Linked DNA regions of Rhinolophus ferrumequinum. The protein of the gene in region 1 binds, or shares a complex with, the protein of each later gene. Links are inferred from orthologs where the notes say so. Each region holds a gene or a part of one and is shown on either strand. Other genes may lie near its edges.

Region 1 (7,284 bases):
TTAGCCCTAGACACCACTTGGGGCCTGCTGGTGTCCGCCCTGATGCCCGTCTGAGCGAGACCTGGAGGTCCGCCTGGCCCGCGTTGCCATCCACAGTACCTGCCTCAGGTACCAACATCCCACCTTCTCACTCTGCTCTGGGATTTCCTTCTTCCAGACACATCCTTGCACTGAGCCCTCCCTGCCAACCCTATCTTGTGCCAGATTCTTTTTTTCCTCTACTGCCAATCTTTTTGTGAACACGTCACCTCATTCCCCTCCCCTGAGAAATAACCTACCCCCCCACCCCCCAACCAAGGGACTGGGGGTGAGTGGGGTTGGCCTTCTTCTTGCTCCCCGTTATGGCCTCCTAACCAAAACCACACACCTCTGGGCTTTACCCCTCTCTGTTCCTCTTCTCTCCTGAGCTTTTCCCCACGTTCCCTGAAGACGCTGACATTTGATCTGCAGACTTTTCCTCTCAGCTCCTAGTCTTGCCATCCTCCTGGACAAGTTCAGCTTTCAAGTGGTCAGCCTGTCTTTTACTTTCCTTCCACTCTACTTTGGCTGCCCGTCCCATGGTCACAGCCTATGCATGTCATTGCGGAGGTCCGGCGCATCTCTGTAATCTTGAACTTCAGACGCACATCCGTGGTTACATCCTCCAGGATGGAAGCTCTCCCACTTATCTACTCCTAGTTTCCAACCTCACACAGCTCTTGACTGCTCCATTTTCTCTCTTCTAGCATTTACTTCCTTCTCTGACCCAGTTCTCGCAGCCCTTATTTCAGTTTTTCTCTCCCTATCAACCTCCTTGCTTCTTTGTGTCTCCCTTGTACTCAGCCAGCAAGACTCCACTTTGGAGCAAGCCCCTTAATTCATCCTCTCCAGTTCTACCTATGGGTCCTTGTGGATTGCTGGTGAAAATTGTATAATTTTTCTGCCTGACAACACCTAAAGCAGCTTCAGGGAGCTTCTCTCACTACCCTTTTTTCTTTCCAAACCCTCTACCTCAACATCTTGCTCATTCTCAACAGAAGGCCTAACTTTAGAGAGGCCTTTCTTTTTCACTAAGGAAACTGAGGCTGTGAAGCAGGGAGTTCCTTAACTTACTCTTCCGTGTTTTTGTCCATCTGATTCCCACCTTTTCCATCCTCCCCTTCTTAGGAAAAGAGCTACTGGCTCCTGTTTATTAAGGCTTTAGGTCTGATGCCACCATTTTCACCCGTATCTTTACTCTAAGCCCATAAACTTGATCACATCTTTCCCATCCGAAAACCAAACCAAATAAAAACCTTTGCTACCATCCTCTCTCTCTTTCCCTTCAAAGGCAAGCTTCCGGCAAAGATAAGTCTCTTCTCACTTCCCACTTGCTCTTGAATCGGGTTTCTGCCCTTATCACGCCGCAGTGAGTGCGTCATCACTTGAGCCTCAGGTGGACGAGACAAACTGGCACTTCCCTTCCCCTTGCTTGTCCTCCCTGAACCGTTTGATCTGCTGGCCATTCCTTCCTCCCTTGGCTTCTCCCATACATCTCTCCTCTTTGCTATCAAATCTCAGTTCCTTCTGAGTGCACTTTATTGGCTCCCTTTAGATTCTCATCCCTTAAAAGCCAGTCTCTGGGTTTGTTCTGTACTCTGCCCATTCTGTGCTTTCCTGAGGTGACCTCATCTGCAATCAGGGCTTTAATTACCAGGGGCTTATTGAAAACTCATGCCTTTGGCTTCTGTTCAGCTTTCTCTTCTAAATTCTAGACCCCTATGACCAACTGTCCCCTGGACACCGCCACTTAAATGTCCTTCAGGTACCTCAAACTCAGCCTTTTCCTAACTGAATTTGTATCTTTTCAGCCAGACTTCTTCCCCTGGATTCTTCGTGAATATTGTCACGATCCAAGATCCCAGCCTCTTTCCCCCACCATTTTTCAGTCAGTTGCCAAGTCTAGCAAGATGGATTTTTGTTCACTAGAATCCCAGAGCAGCTGAGGGATGCAAATTGGTACGGCTGCTCTCCCAAAGAGATGCAGTGGACAGTGGGGGCCGTGTACCGTGGGATGGCCTAGTGAGCTGCCCGGGGACAGCAGGGTAGCTGTGCGTGATGCTTCCAATCTTGGGTTAACTTAACTAAGTATCACCAGGTGCTCAGGTACTTGAAGTTCTTGAATATAAAGGAGCAGAGCTTGCCTGTTCCTGAACAGATCTGAACAGAGATAGCTCAGTGAGGAACAGCGACATGGAGAAGCCTCACACAGTAAGATGCAGAAGTGGGAGGGCCAAGTGTACCTGGATCTCTCAAGGGTGAGGAGATCTTGAGTAAGTGTGGGTTACACATGTCCCACTGACAGGTTCTACCTGTGTCATGTCTTCTACCGGATCCTGTTTTCCTCAGTGGCCTCCAGGCTACTGCCTATCCCCAAGTCTTGTCCAAAATGCAAATCTTATTAAGCCATGGGCTCTTTTAACTTCTGGATTTCAAGTTAAAAATTCCTTAGCTCCTCACACAAGGTTCTTTAAGAAGCGGTCCCTCTTTACTATCTAGCCCCACCTCTTGCTACTGCCTACACATTCTTTTTTTTTTTTCAAGGAGAGCACAGCTCACAGTGGCCCATGCGGGGATCAAACTGGCAACCTTGGTGCTCCCTGGTGTCCCAGCACCATGCTCTAACCAACTGAGCTAACTGGCCACCCCTGTCTACACTTTCTTTACCTTCTTTTTGCTTCAGCCGTGAGGAAGTTCTTCCAGCCCTTTAAATGCATCAGGCCTTCATGCTCCTGTGCTTGGAATATCTGCGTCCCTCCTACCCCCACCTATTCATTCTGCCATTTCTACTTTTCCTTCAATATTCAATTTAAGATCACTTTCCAGAAGCCTTTTACAACCCCAATCTGATTTTCTCTGGGCTATTGTGGCATCCTACATATAACGTAAAAATACTTTTTACCACATCTCATTGAAATCTGTTAACTTGCCTCTCTTCCCTAGTAGACTGGGTACTTATAAAGACAGATCTTAGTCTGGCTTTCTATATCCAATGTTTAACTCATGAACAGCACTTGATATTTCTAAATGAATAAATAAAACATCAACCATGACAGTTTTTTTTTTCCACAGTTTTTTTTGGGGAGTATTGGGGAACAGTGTGTTTTTCCAGGACTCAGCAGCTCCATGTCAAGTTGTTGTTTGCAATCTAGTTGTGGAAGGCACAGCTCATTGGCTCATGTGGGAATCCAACCCACCACCCTGAGGTTATGAGCACTGCGCTCTAACCACTTAACCAACCAGCCGCCCCACCATGCAAGTTTTAAAGTTTAAACAGTAAGCTGTTTAACCTAGAAACCTTTCAACATTTAAACAGCAGGCCATTTAGTCGTGTCATTTCACATGCTAATCATGCATCTCATTCCTGAAGGTGAGTGCAATGTTGCTGGCCCACTTGCCAGTGGGAAAATCTGGACATTCCAGAATGCATGTCCAGGAATTATCAGCCCACAGACAGGTCTCAAGCATCCTGTCATCTGCAGAACCCACCAGCTCAGTACCCTTCTCCTGGCCTTGACCTTACGTAGTGCCTATAGCCACTAAAAGAGGTGGGCAGAGAGACATATTCATGGTCATCTCTGTTATGTCTTTAGGTTAAGGAGTGTATGTTGGTCTACTCGTATGTGGTGTTTGTGTGCCCGCGCGTGGGGGAGGGAGGGAGTGAGGGAGGAAGGAGGCAGCGTGTGCATCCCTTCAGAGACGCCTTTCCTTGACTAGGTGACATTCTCCTGTCCACCCTCTCTGAGCACCTTATTCTCCCCCTCTGGGCCCATCACAGCTTTACTTGAATTCGTGTCATTAATACCTGTCTCGCCGGTAGATTGTAAACTGCACGAGGATAGGTACCTCACACGTTCCTGTTCACTCCTGTGTTCCCTCTGCCCAGCAGGATGCCCGAGGCATCACAGGTATTCCACAAACACCTTCTCCCACCAGCGTTTCTGGGCCAGACTGGGTGGACCCCAGGCGGCACCACCGCCCGGCTCACCAACGGCCGGCGGAGGCAGGGCGGGGCGTGCTGCGCGCGGCGGGTGCTCTCGCGGGGACAGTTCTCTGGCTCGCGTGGGCGCGGCCCGGGGAGGGGGAAGTGTGGAGGGGGCGGGTACGACGCGGGGCCGCGGGCTGGCCAATGAACTCCGGCCGGGCGGGGCTCGGGCCCGGCTGCCCGGGCCATCTCCGGGCTAGGCGTGCCCGCCGGTGACGCACCGGGCGGTGCGGGCCAATGGGCGCGGGCTGGCGGGCTGGCAGGCGGGCCTCGCGGGCGGGGGCATTAGGACACCAACGGGAGGCCTGCCGGACAGACTGACATTCGGCTGCAACGCAGGAGGCACGCGGCCGCGATGGCGCTGGCGCGGGCCTGGAAACAAATGTCCTGGCTGTACTACCAGTACCTGCTGGTCACGGCGCTCTACATGCTGGAGCCCTGGGAGCGGACTGTGTTCAGTATCCTGCCCGGGCCGTGGGCGCGGGGGTCGGGGTGGGGGGTTGGGGGCCTGAGCGGCATCCTTCCGGGCCCAGGGCCTGGGGGGCGGGGAACCGAAGGCGGAGAGGCGGACCGGCGGGAACCGCGCGCGCGGACTCGCTTTTCGCGGCGGGCACGCGTGGCAGAGGTCTCGTGGGCCGAGGGCGCGCTCCCGCGGTTGGGAAGGCCGTCAGGGGGCGAGGACTCTTGAGATCCCAGGTCGCCTTTGAGTCCTTTGGCCCAAGGTAGAAGCGTCTTTATTGCTGGAAGAAATCCCCTAGAGCGATGTCTAACGTGGCATGCCGTCGCTTGCACTTTGGCCGCGCCTGCCTTTGGTTCAGTCCCCTGTTTTCTGTGGGAGGCAGGGACCGTGTAAGGGGAGCAAATCGCTACCGGCTTGGATGCCTTTGACCTTTAACTGTCCCTGATTTAGCTGGCTCCGGTCCTAAAGAGAATGCTAAGTTTTCCAGCTTTTTAATTAGGTTGTGAATTTGTGTTCATGACAGCCCAATTCAATTTTTGAAAAGAGCCTGTTATTGTACCTATTGTATCTTCAAGATGGGTAGTTTAAAAGTGGTTTGTTTTTTTTTTACCCCCATTAATTTGCTGTCCGTGAAATCGATCCTGAAGAGGAATTTGTGGTTAATTGTAGATGGTGTTTGCAATTTTTCGTAGATAACTAGTACTTGTTAATGACTATTACGTGTGTGCTATGAGCCAAGCCAACTGTGCTAAGCATTTTCCCTGTATCTTAACTCATCTAACTTTCATAACGACTGAAATTAATAACTCAAGGTTGTGAAAATGGGATGCCTGAAGTCTGTGATGTTTGTCTCTCCATTTGTCTATGTAGACATCTCTTGATATTCTTGCAAAATAAATACTAGTCATGAGATGTAACTTTTTTTTTTTTTTTTTTTTTTTTAACTTGGGGGCCAGTGTGAAACAAGTATTTCACACAGCATACTTACTTCATACAAGATCTCTCCTTTTCAGTTCGGTTTAATTTGGAGTAGCTTCAGAACAGCTTTGCAAATGCGTAGTTGCATTCTGGTGGAGTGACTGAGGTAATTCATTTCAAGCCTTCAAAGTGTGTTTATTTGTGCTGAACTAGCATGAGATTGTACCTACAGCTGAGTCTTGTGTTTCAACACTGGAAGAATCTTAGCTGCTTACAAGGAAAGTTATTTTTGTTGTAAGCATTTCTTTCCAAACCTGGAATTTAAGAACCAGGATGCACATTTTGGATTTAAAATCTGAATGTAAAATATTCTCTGATTTCCTGCACCAGTTATTTGTAGCTGCAGTTTAGTCTTACGCTAAGTTCTGTAGGTGAGAGCTCATGAGGTCATCCTTGTGAAATGGATACTGAAATACAGAAGCACATACTTCTTGATTTAGTTAATTTAAACTCATCTTAAAAGTGACTTTAAACAATGTTGTGCTAAATTGAAACTCTTTAAATCAGAAGTTGAGCGCAGAGCCCACTGTCAGGGTCTACTACAGTAGTCGCTCCTTTTATCGGTGGTTTCGCTTTGTACCGTGTCAGTTACCTGTGGTCAACCATAATTCAAAAATACTAAATGGTAAATTTCAGAAGTAAAGAATTCATAAGTTTTAAATTGCCCACTGTAATGATATCTCACCTTGTCCCACTTGGGATGTCACTCATCCCTTTGTCCAGTGTATCCACTCATCTCTTATCAGAGAGAGAGAAAAACCACATTCACAGAACTTATTACAGTATATTGTTATGATTGTTTTATTTTATTATTGTTGTTAATCTCTTACTGTGCCTAATTTACAAGTTAAACTTTTTCATCGGTATGAATGTACAGGAAAAAACATAGTATATATATGGTTCCGTACTATCTGCGGTTTCCCGCATCCACTGGGGGTCTTGGAACAAATCCCCCACAGATAAAGGGGGGCTGCTGTATAGATTTTACACTTAAAAGCTTTTATTGGCATGTAGATGTATGCTATAGAATCACTGGTGTTATGGTTTTTATGTATTATGTTGCAGTAGTAATAGTGTCCCATAAATACTAGGTAATGGCTTTTTTTGGATTGGAGAAATAAGTTATGAAATGAAACGTAGTGCCTTTGTAGATTTTTGCCTTTGAAGCTTTTGACTTCTCATTGCGTTACATGACCAAAAGATTTCAGTTTTTAAAAAAACTAGTGAGAACTGCAGCCAGCTAGCATTGGGTACTATAGAATCCTATGGTTTTAAACCTAAGATTAAAAAAAAATTATTTCAAAGTTCATATCATTGAATTAACTCGGTAGAAATGCAATCCTTTGACATAAGCCAGTCTTAAATTACTATCAGCTATTGTATTTATATTATTTCAACTCAACTTACAGAGTTATTTTGAAGTCAGACATTTAATTCTATGGTTTGAAACATCAATTTGAGATTGAATCCTCATTCTAGCTTGGCGGAAAGAACTGAATGAGAAAGCTGGATTTAAAAAATTTTCTTTTCTACTTAATGGGGAGCTTTAATTACTGCTAAGTAGTTTGAATTTCATAAATTCATTAATAATTAGTAAGCTTCACCCAGAACTAGCTTGCGGCCAGTTACATGGTTTTAGAAAGACACATTCTTAAAAATTACATTGAACATAATCATCACTGCTAGAAACCTAAAATTTATTGTAGGAGAAATGTGTCTGGCTGTCTGAAAAATGGTCTTTGATTTAGAAGTCCTGGACAGAGAAAGACTCTGGAAGATAAATGCATTAATTTGCATTTCACTGCTCTAATTCCTTTAATAATTTGAGGTTGTCCCTATTTTA
Region 2 (8,073 bases), on another chromosome or scaffold:
ATGATAAGAATATCAAGTTTGGATTAAGATGCTAAGGGCTCTTCTGTCATGTGGATATGCTCATGAGGAGAAGAACAAATCCTCTAGAACAATAGTGTTCTGTTACTGACTGAGGTTCCATCTGTCAGGAACAAGAGGCAGGATGACATATTAGAAGTGAACAAAGAAATGGACTTAGTCAGTGGTGAAAACCAATTATCAGTGCATCCTCAGGTCGTATGAGGTTCAAAGAGAAAAACAACAACAACAAAACAAAACAAAACAAAAACCCAGGCGCTACAGTCAAGTTCCAAAAAAGTTCCATAAAGGAACACTAGAAGGTTTCCAAAATAGAAAGAATCTGGATCTCTTGCCAGTCCTGAGGTTGGGGAAGTAAGCCTGGACTCCAGGGCTAGAGTGTTGAAACCAGGCTACATTGGAACAAAGGAAAGGAGGGCTCTTGACAGATTGCCTAACAGTGATTTTCAGTTTTATTTATTTATTTACTTATTTTCTTATGTCAGAGAACTCCATGTTAACAGAATCTTACAGGAACCCCAAATATATATGAAAAACAAATGTGTTGCTGAGTGGTTGCAAATAAGCTGGAAGATAAAGGGTCACGGGATCTTCAGAGGTGCTAGTAGGACTCTAGATGCTGCTTCATAGGACCCTAGGCCCGGCAGAACGTGTTTGGAAGACAGCTGGCCCAGCACATCTGTCAGCCTTTATGGAGAGCTTGTCAACTATCAAGGTTTTTGGTCAAGACCCAGTTTGTTAAAGGACCCCAAGGCAAAATGGATTAAAACTAGTAACTGAGGATCGTGATAGTGAAGACAACTTCACCCACATCATGGAGGGGAAGTCAGGTCCTTGTCTGCTCTGCTACACCAAGATCTCAGCAGGGTTTATTCTTTCTGGAAAATATTTTTAAAGCAATAATCAAGTCTCTCAGTAGTTGCCAATTCCAACTTAGTAACACCTAAATATATCTGAGCCCAACACGTGCTGGATGGTCCTTCAGAAAGAGCTGTCGGAAAAGGTAACAGCAGCTTTGATAATACCTGCTGCTCTCAGGGAAGCCTCAGTGTCCCAGGCTACTTACAGTCTTGTAGGAGCACTTAGTAATGACCCTTTAAGATCCTGGCTTTTGTCCTTATTTAGGAATAGCTGTAAACATCTAGGTAAGTTTCTAACCTCAGACACTAGAAGGTGGCTATAAAACCAAGGTAAAGAGAGAAGAATAGCTTTAAGAGTGTCTCTGCCCAAGTGAGAGCCCTCAGGGTCAGAATGGTCCAGAGGGCAAGTAGGTGAGTGGCTAGTGTCCTAGGCATTTCAGGGATAAAGAGCATCTTGAGTGATTGTAGTCTGAATTGACACAGTGACAAATAGATGGTGCGTATTATTATGATTGCCCTCATGCTAATAGGAGGAGTTGAGTGTTTTCTCTTTACATTGCACTAGGTTTCAGATATTCAGCTGGGAGAGGTCAAGCCTCAGATTTCAGGTAGACACTTCTAAGACTGAGGTAATGCCTTCTGTTAAGAGGGGACCACAGCCTATTCACACACAACCCAGGGTCCAGACTCTTCCCCACCCTGCCCCTCACTTCTTCCAACTGTACTCACAAATTTAATGCACTGAGTGGTGGACTGGCCGCTAGCCAGCCCAACCTGTTCTGTGATCTTAGAACAAGCTGTTCCCTGGGCGGATGCTGGTCTTCCAGGGACGGATGAGTGATGGAGGACTACATAGATACTCTTCCCAACTTTTTTCATTTCCCAACAGTGGAACCACCTGTTTTGCTATGCTGACGTGCTTCTGAAGCAGGTGAGCTCATCCTGACTACTCATTGCCGACAGGTAGGGTATCTCATGGGAAATGGGGAGCTGCCTTTTTACAAGTACCTCACAGAGCCCACCGCCCTCTTTGGATAAGCTGACAACATTTCTTGAGTTCCTCTCCTCCTCAGTACATTCCCTTCAAACATTCTGTTACAGCAGGAGCCAAAAAAAAAAAAAAAGTATCAAATGGGAAAACAATTCAAAGTCTGTTTGGTTCCTGTGTGCAGGGTTTTAACAATAAGCCACACTTTCTGAAGTGTCTTCAAAAGGAATGTTGTGATGTCAAGTTTCAAAGAAAGACTTGGGACCAAAATCAAGCTGCAAGCTATGACAATGCTCCACTAAACACCAAAAAGAATTCACCTTTCACCCAGAGAGGCATTTCTCACGCACTGGAGAAAAATGCTATCCGTACCACAAAATCTCAGCAATTTTAGATTTACTTTCACTTTCTCTCTTTTTTTTTTTTTATGAAACGTGATGAATGTAGCCTATTATGATTTTTTGATGGACTAAAATTTAGCTGAAAAGTTTGAGCCTTCACAAGTCTGCCCCCGAATACTTGAGAGTAAACAAAGTCTCGTAGCTATGTTTGTGTTTTCAGGGTTTACACAAACCCAATGTGTGTCCTCCCTTGTACAGAGAAGAAATTGTCTCCTTAACCCACAGCTAAACTCTTTGGTAGCCAAGCATTTGAAATTAGCTGAAGGGAAGAGTCAAAACACATAACACGTCATAAAAAAGGATTTTCAGTGAAGACAGCTTCAAAGAGCTTTACAAAGAAATATTGAAATGTTCTGGTCATTCAGAGTCAGGGAGGGATTGCCTCTTACCTGGGCTTCTTTCACTATCCCATTCCTTGTGCAGTTTCCACTTTGCAAGCCGACACGCTGTTTTTTGTGATTGTGAAGATCCCCATTGCAAACAGTACCACCTCCAGAATTAACCATTGTGTGAAATGATGGAACCCAGCAGGTTTTCCTCCAGCGGTTCTTGGCAAGCGTCAGTTTTGAAGTTGGTGAGGGGATGGGAGAAAGCACTTTGGGCTGAGACCGTGGAGGAATCCTACCAATCAGGCTTTTCCAGAAGAAGAGCAATAGTCTATCTTTTGAGCAGATCTTTGAAACTAAAAACAAACAGTTACCTTTCTACTCCTCAACTCAGAAAGTGGCTTCCACGGCAACAAACTAGTTCCTGAAACTATAAAGGAGATTGCCCATGCTGGCTCCTCTTGTGGACTGAGGAAATCAGGAGACTGCAAAACCCAGTGGCAAACTCTGAGGGGGCGGGCTGGGAGGAGGAAAATCTTTTAAAGACACACACACACACACACACACACCACTCACATGGAACCTTCTGCTGAGGTACAGTTGCAAATTTACATATCTCCCACCCCGTCCCTCCTGCAGCTAATTACATTTTTTAGGTGTAAATGAAACTCCAAGTCAACATTTCCCTTTGCTGTAAAATAACATTCAGGAGTGGTTGCCAGGAACTAGAGGAAAGATAGAATGGGAAGTTACCATTTAATGAGTTTCTGTTGGAGAAGACGGAAAAAGTTTTGGCACTTAGATGGTGGCGATGGTTGCACAACACTGCGAATGTACTCAATGCCATTGAGCTGTACACTTAAAAATGGTTAAAATAGAAATTTTATGTGAGGTGGATTTTACCATAATACAAAAATGGCAAAAAAAGTATTTAGAACCCACCTAATGTTTGACCTAATGTTAAAGCCAGTGATATAATGAGAGGTACCAACTCATGAAGAATTGCTGTAAGGCAGAAGTCTGGGGGACAGAATATTTGATTTCTCATCATGGCTGCATTACCTGTCGCATGATCTTTGAGAAGCTATTTTCTCTTTTTTACGCCTCAGTTTCTCTGCCTGTAAAATGAAATAAGACACATTTTTTGAGCTAATGTATGATGGGGTGGTAGGAAAATAAAACCATGGCTTGGCTTTGTTACTGACACAGGTACTGTGAATCAGACGGTGACTGCAGTGTCTCAGTCTCGAGCAGCTCTGGTTTACTTATTAACTCTGATTCTCTCAGTGCACCAGTCACCAAAGGCTTATCTTCTCCTGTCACCATCAAATGGCATTGAGCTGATACGTATTATTGGATAATCACTTACAGCCTGTTGAGTTCTCCCAAGCCCACCCTCATGGTTCTCCTGAACTAAGACTTCTTTAACATCAGGCACTTAGAAAAGAAAACCATTTAATGGGTCAATGGAAAAAAACAAACAAAGCAAAAACAAAAACAAAAAGACAGGAATGGCTCCTGTTTTCAAAGCCTCATTTCCTGGTTCTTGGGTTTGTACAGGGTTTGTGTCCCCTCCAGCAAGAGGTGGCTTACAGAGGAAGTGATCGTAATGCTTCTCCTAACCTTGATTTACATGTGAGGGTTCCCATTTTTCCCATCCCGGGGAGAACTGAAGGAATAAGGTCTTGGGTTAAATAACAGGATGGAGTTAATGCCAAGTATGCCCACCCTTTTGTGTCTCAATCTCAGAATTTTATTGCATCTCTTCCAACCATTGTCATCAGAGCAGAACTAGATTTTTTTCACTGGTCTCTCTCTTCTGTGACTTCTAACTGGGATGGGAGCTAAACCAGTGTTGTTGGCTTATTTCCTTCTAGACTTATACAAAAGAGAGATGGAAAGGTAGGTGGGAACCCTGGTAACTGTTGGTTGGCCTGACTACCTCAGCTTACTTGGAAAGACAAGTTGAAGACATTGTTATGTTGACTGACCTCTAATGACCTGTAGAAAGTTATTTTTCAAATGAGAATTTTGAGATAAAACTAAATTCTGAACATTAGATATTTTTATCTCTCCTTCTTTTATTCTCTTCTTCCTTCTTCCAGTTCTTCTGTTGAATTCCCCCTTTCCCTATTCTCCAATCTTCCCCCCTCCTCGTTTTCTTCCTGTTTTTCTTTATTTTCTTTTTACAAGGGGACACAACCATATATAGAAAAAAATCTCAAAAAGCAGTTGAAATTTCCTTCACTTTTTTTTTTCCTAATCCCAATAGCCAAGGTGAAACGACTACACATAGACCTTCAGGAAATATCTACCACATGTTCTCACTCTTGAAACTTTTCTCCTTTACTTGCCATATTGGAATATGTAAACTGCTGTGTGCACAAAATCTTCTTAACACAACAACCATTCAGCATTAGATACTATGGATATGCATAATCAATGGTGGCTCCTTGTTTTATATCATCTCCAGTGAAAATAAGTGTGGAGGTCAATTTGAGTGAGTGGTAGCTCTGAGTGTAAGGATATTGATCTCTTATAGTCTGACAGTTTGTGTCACCCAAAATTCATATGTTGAAACCCTAACTCTTAAGGTGATGGTATTAGGAGGTGGGGCTGTTGGGATGTAATTAGGTCAGGAAGGTAGAGCCCTCATGAAGGGATTAGTGCTTTATAATAGAGGCCCAGGAGGCTCCCTTGTCCCTTCAGCCAAGTGAGGTTATAGCAAAAAGACACCAGTCTAGGAAGTGGGTCTTCACCAAACACTAAATCTTTCCATTCCTTGCTCTTGGACTTCTCAGCCTTCAGAACTATGAGGAACACATTTCTGTTGTTTATGAGCTATTCAGTTTATGGTATTTTGTTATAGTAACCCAAAATGTCTACGACATCGATCAACATTAAAACAGACTGCAATTGAGTATGATTTGTTGTCTAGGAATAACTAAATGTATTTCAGATCAACCAGTAAATCCAACAAATATTTGAATAACTATTATGTCCTAGGTTATTTGCTAAGTCCTTCAATACAACAGTGAACAAGACTCAGGCAGTCTTCACCTTCACAGAAAACTGAGCGTTAATAGCACCTGCATATCTTCTACTCAAGATCTCTCATTATTGAAGGTAAACATAAACCTGTTTATTATTGTATTAAGGACAAAGACCAAATTAGTTAACAATGGCCTTGTGGTAGTCCCTGAAGGGACACTTTTGCCAGATGTCAGCTTCTAGGGATAAATAAGAAAGGGAAGTTCAGAGCTTGGTAACATATTGTGAAAAAGCTCCGGGAACCATTTGGAAACAGAAAATTGACAAAAAAGGGAGGAAATGAGCAAAATACATTGTCAGAATTGTACAGTGTCTATAAATCTATTCAGTGAATCAATCTTTACTTACGTAATGGAGAGTAATGATGATGCAAAAACTAAAGTTCCAACAAGTTAAGTGACTTTTCCAAAGCCACAAGAATATATGCCAGGAGTTGGTCATAAACTCTAGAATTTGAGTCCAGAGCAAGTCCTCTTTCCCTAATACCATGATATCTCTCCTTCCGCTGTTGTCTTGAGAATATCAATCAAGAAGAAAAATAACAGAAACTGTTATGATTTGGGAAATTTCTTTGAATTAGCCAAATAATAAGTAAAAATATTTTATTTTGTATTTCTGATCCATTAAAATCCTGTCATCTATTAAATACAAGCAAAGATCTAATAACATCTTAAAATCTACTTGGATTTTATAGTCTGGGATACTTCTACAGGGAAATAGTTAAATTTTCTAAAAAATTCAGTCTGGAAAATTCTCAGTGTAAAAATAATTCAGTTCAAAAGACTTTCTTATCAACAGGAGGCCAGATACTTATATTTTTGATGTCAGATAGGTTTTTTCTTTCTTTCTAAACATGGGTTAAAAGTACAGCAATGCTATTTTAAGTTAGAAAAAAACCCCAACAAAACACATTATTGATGACTACTACCTCAAGGCCAGCAACAGTGGAATATTTCTGCTTTTCTTCATGATATAATCTTCCAGGGAGTAGTGTCTCTGCAAGTCTTTGTAGTAGCAATTACCTTCAGAATGCCCTTGAGCAAAACACAGAGTTTCACCCTCCCTGCGGACATCATAACTCTTTGCCTACAAAACTGAACATCTATTAAAAAAAAAAAAGTTCAGGATTCAGATTTTCAAAATACAGAGCCAGGGACTTCTAAGAAGTATTCAAGAGCCACTATTATTACCTTGCTGTTTCAGATGCTTGGGGTTGAACTTCTTGAAGCCCCTATATTTCGTAGTCAAGGTACCTGATTTTGTTAATCCAAAAATATTTTTATTTCTGTCAAACTGACTTTCTTTTTTTTTTTTTGGAGGGGGGAGGGTATTTGTACAAAGCAATGATAATTTACTTAGGTGGGTTTTAAATTAATATTTGGCACATTAAATTACAAAATTGACACCCTAGTTAAGTTCCATCTGTAAATCTTGTTGTAACTTCTGTATGAAAGAAGAACAATTACTTTTGTGATTGTTAATTGATTGATATTTGATTAACATAAGATGAATAGGCTAAATTTTCCTTATAGAAAACATCGCCATTTATGGACTTGGTTAATGTTTTGTCTTAAAACATTTAAAACTTAGCTAATTAAACATCTTTAAAATTTAAAACATAAAAACACTTGGATATATTTTCTTTCCTTTTAAGTACTTGAAATGGACACTAAGGAAATTTGTAGCCTTAATAAGCAAAATTTTGCCAAGCACAAAATCAACCCATATAATATATGGTAAATCAAATTCTTCTTAATATCTCAATACTGTCTATAAACTAGTTAATACTCTTACATATTTTAACTTAAATTACAAGACTGCTATGTGAAAGTATCATTAATATTATATAGATTTTACAGTTCATTTGCACACATAGATTATTCCTAAACTTAATAAGCAAATATTACTACTATGGGATTGATTTTCTTTATCATCTCCCTATTAACTTCAGTATTGCCAGGATTGAAAATACAATCACCCAACTCTAAGGAACAGGTATATTCTTTAGGTGAGGCTGAGGTACTGATACATTGGTGTAGCCTGTCTCTTACTTTGCTAGGCAGTTCTTTTGGACTGCTAAGTGTGACTGGGTCATTTTATAACCCTGCTGGGCATGATATGAATTAAAACCCTACTTAGTTCCAGACACATATAGAGTAAATCCATCCTGGAATGACTTGACCCTGGAGGTAAATCATGAGATGATTCTGGTGCCTTGGGATGGAGAAATTTTCTTTTTTTTTTTAATTAAAATTTATCGGAGTGACAATTGTTAGTAAAGTTACATAGATTTGAGGTGTACAATTCTGTATTACATCATCTAAAAATCACATTTTGTGTTCACCACCCAGAGTCAGTTCTCCTTCCATCACCATATATTTGATCCCCCTTTACCCTCATCTACCACCCCCCACCCCCCTTACCCTCTG

The links.
Region 2: SPTSSA (region 1) and SPTLC3 share a complex: the UniProt entries of both Homo sapiens proteins name them as parts of the serine palmitoyltransferase (SPT) complex. The link is inferred for Rhinolophus ferrumequinum from reciprocal best matches to the Homo sapiens genes SPTSSA and SPTLC3.

What each region holds. Positions count from the first base shown.
Region 1 is NC_046289.1:82,805,445-82,812,728, reverse strand, and holds the start of SPTSSA (serine palmitoyltransferase small subunit A), read left to right. Parts: upstream 1-4,279; 5' UTR 4,280-4,358; coding exon 4,359-4,461; intron 4,462-7,284. UniProt on the Homo sapiens protein: Component of the serine palmitoyltransferase multisubunit enzyme (SPT) that catalyzes the initial and rate-limiting step in sphingolipid biosynthesis by condensing L-serine and activated acyl-CoA (most commonly palmitoyl-CoA) to form long-chain bases.
Region 2 is NC_046306.1:33,439,260-33,447,332, reverse strand, and holds the start of SPTLC3 (serine palmitoyltransferase 3), read right to left. Parts: upstream 3,012-8,073; 5' UTR 2,774-3,011; coding exon 2,657-2,773; intron 1-2,656. UniProt on the Homo sapiens protein: Component of the serine palmitoyltransferase multisubunit enzyme (SPT) that catalyzes the initial and rate-limiting step in sphingolipid biosynthesis by condensing L-serine and activated acyl-CoA (most commonly palmitoyl-CoA) to form long-chain bases.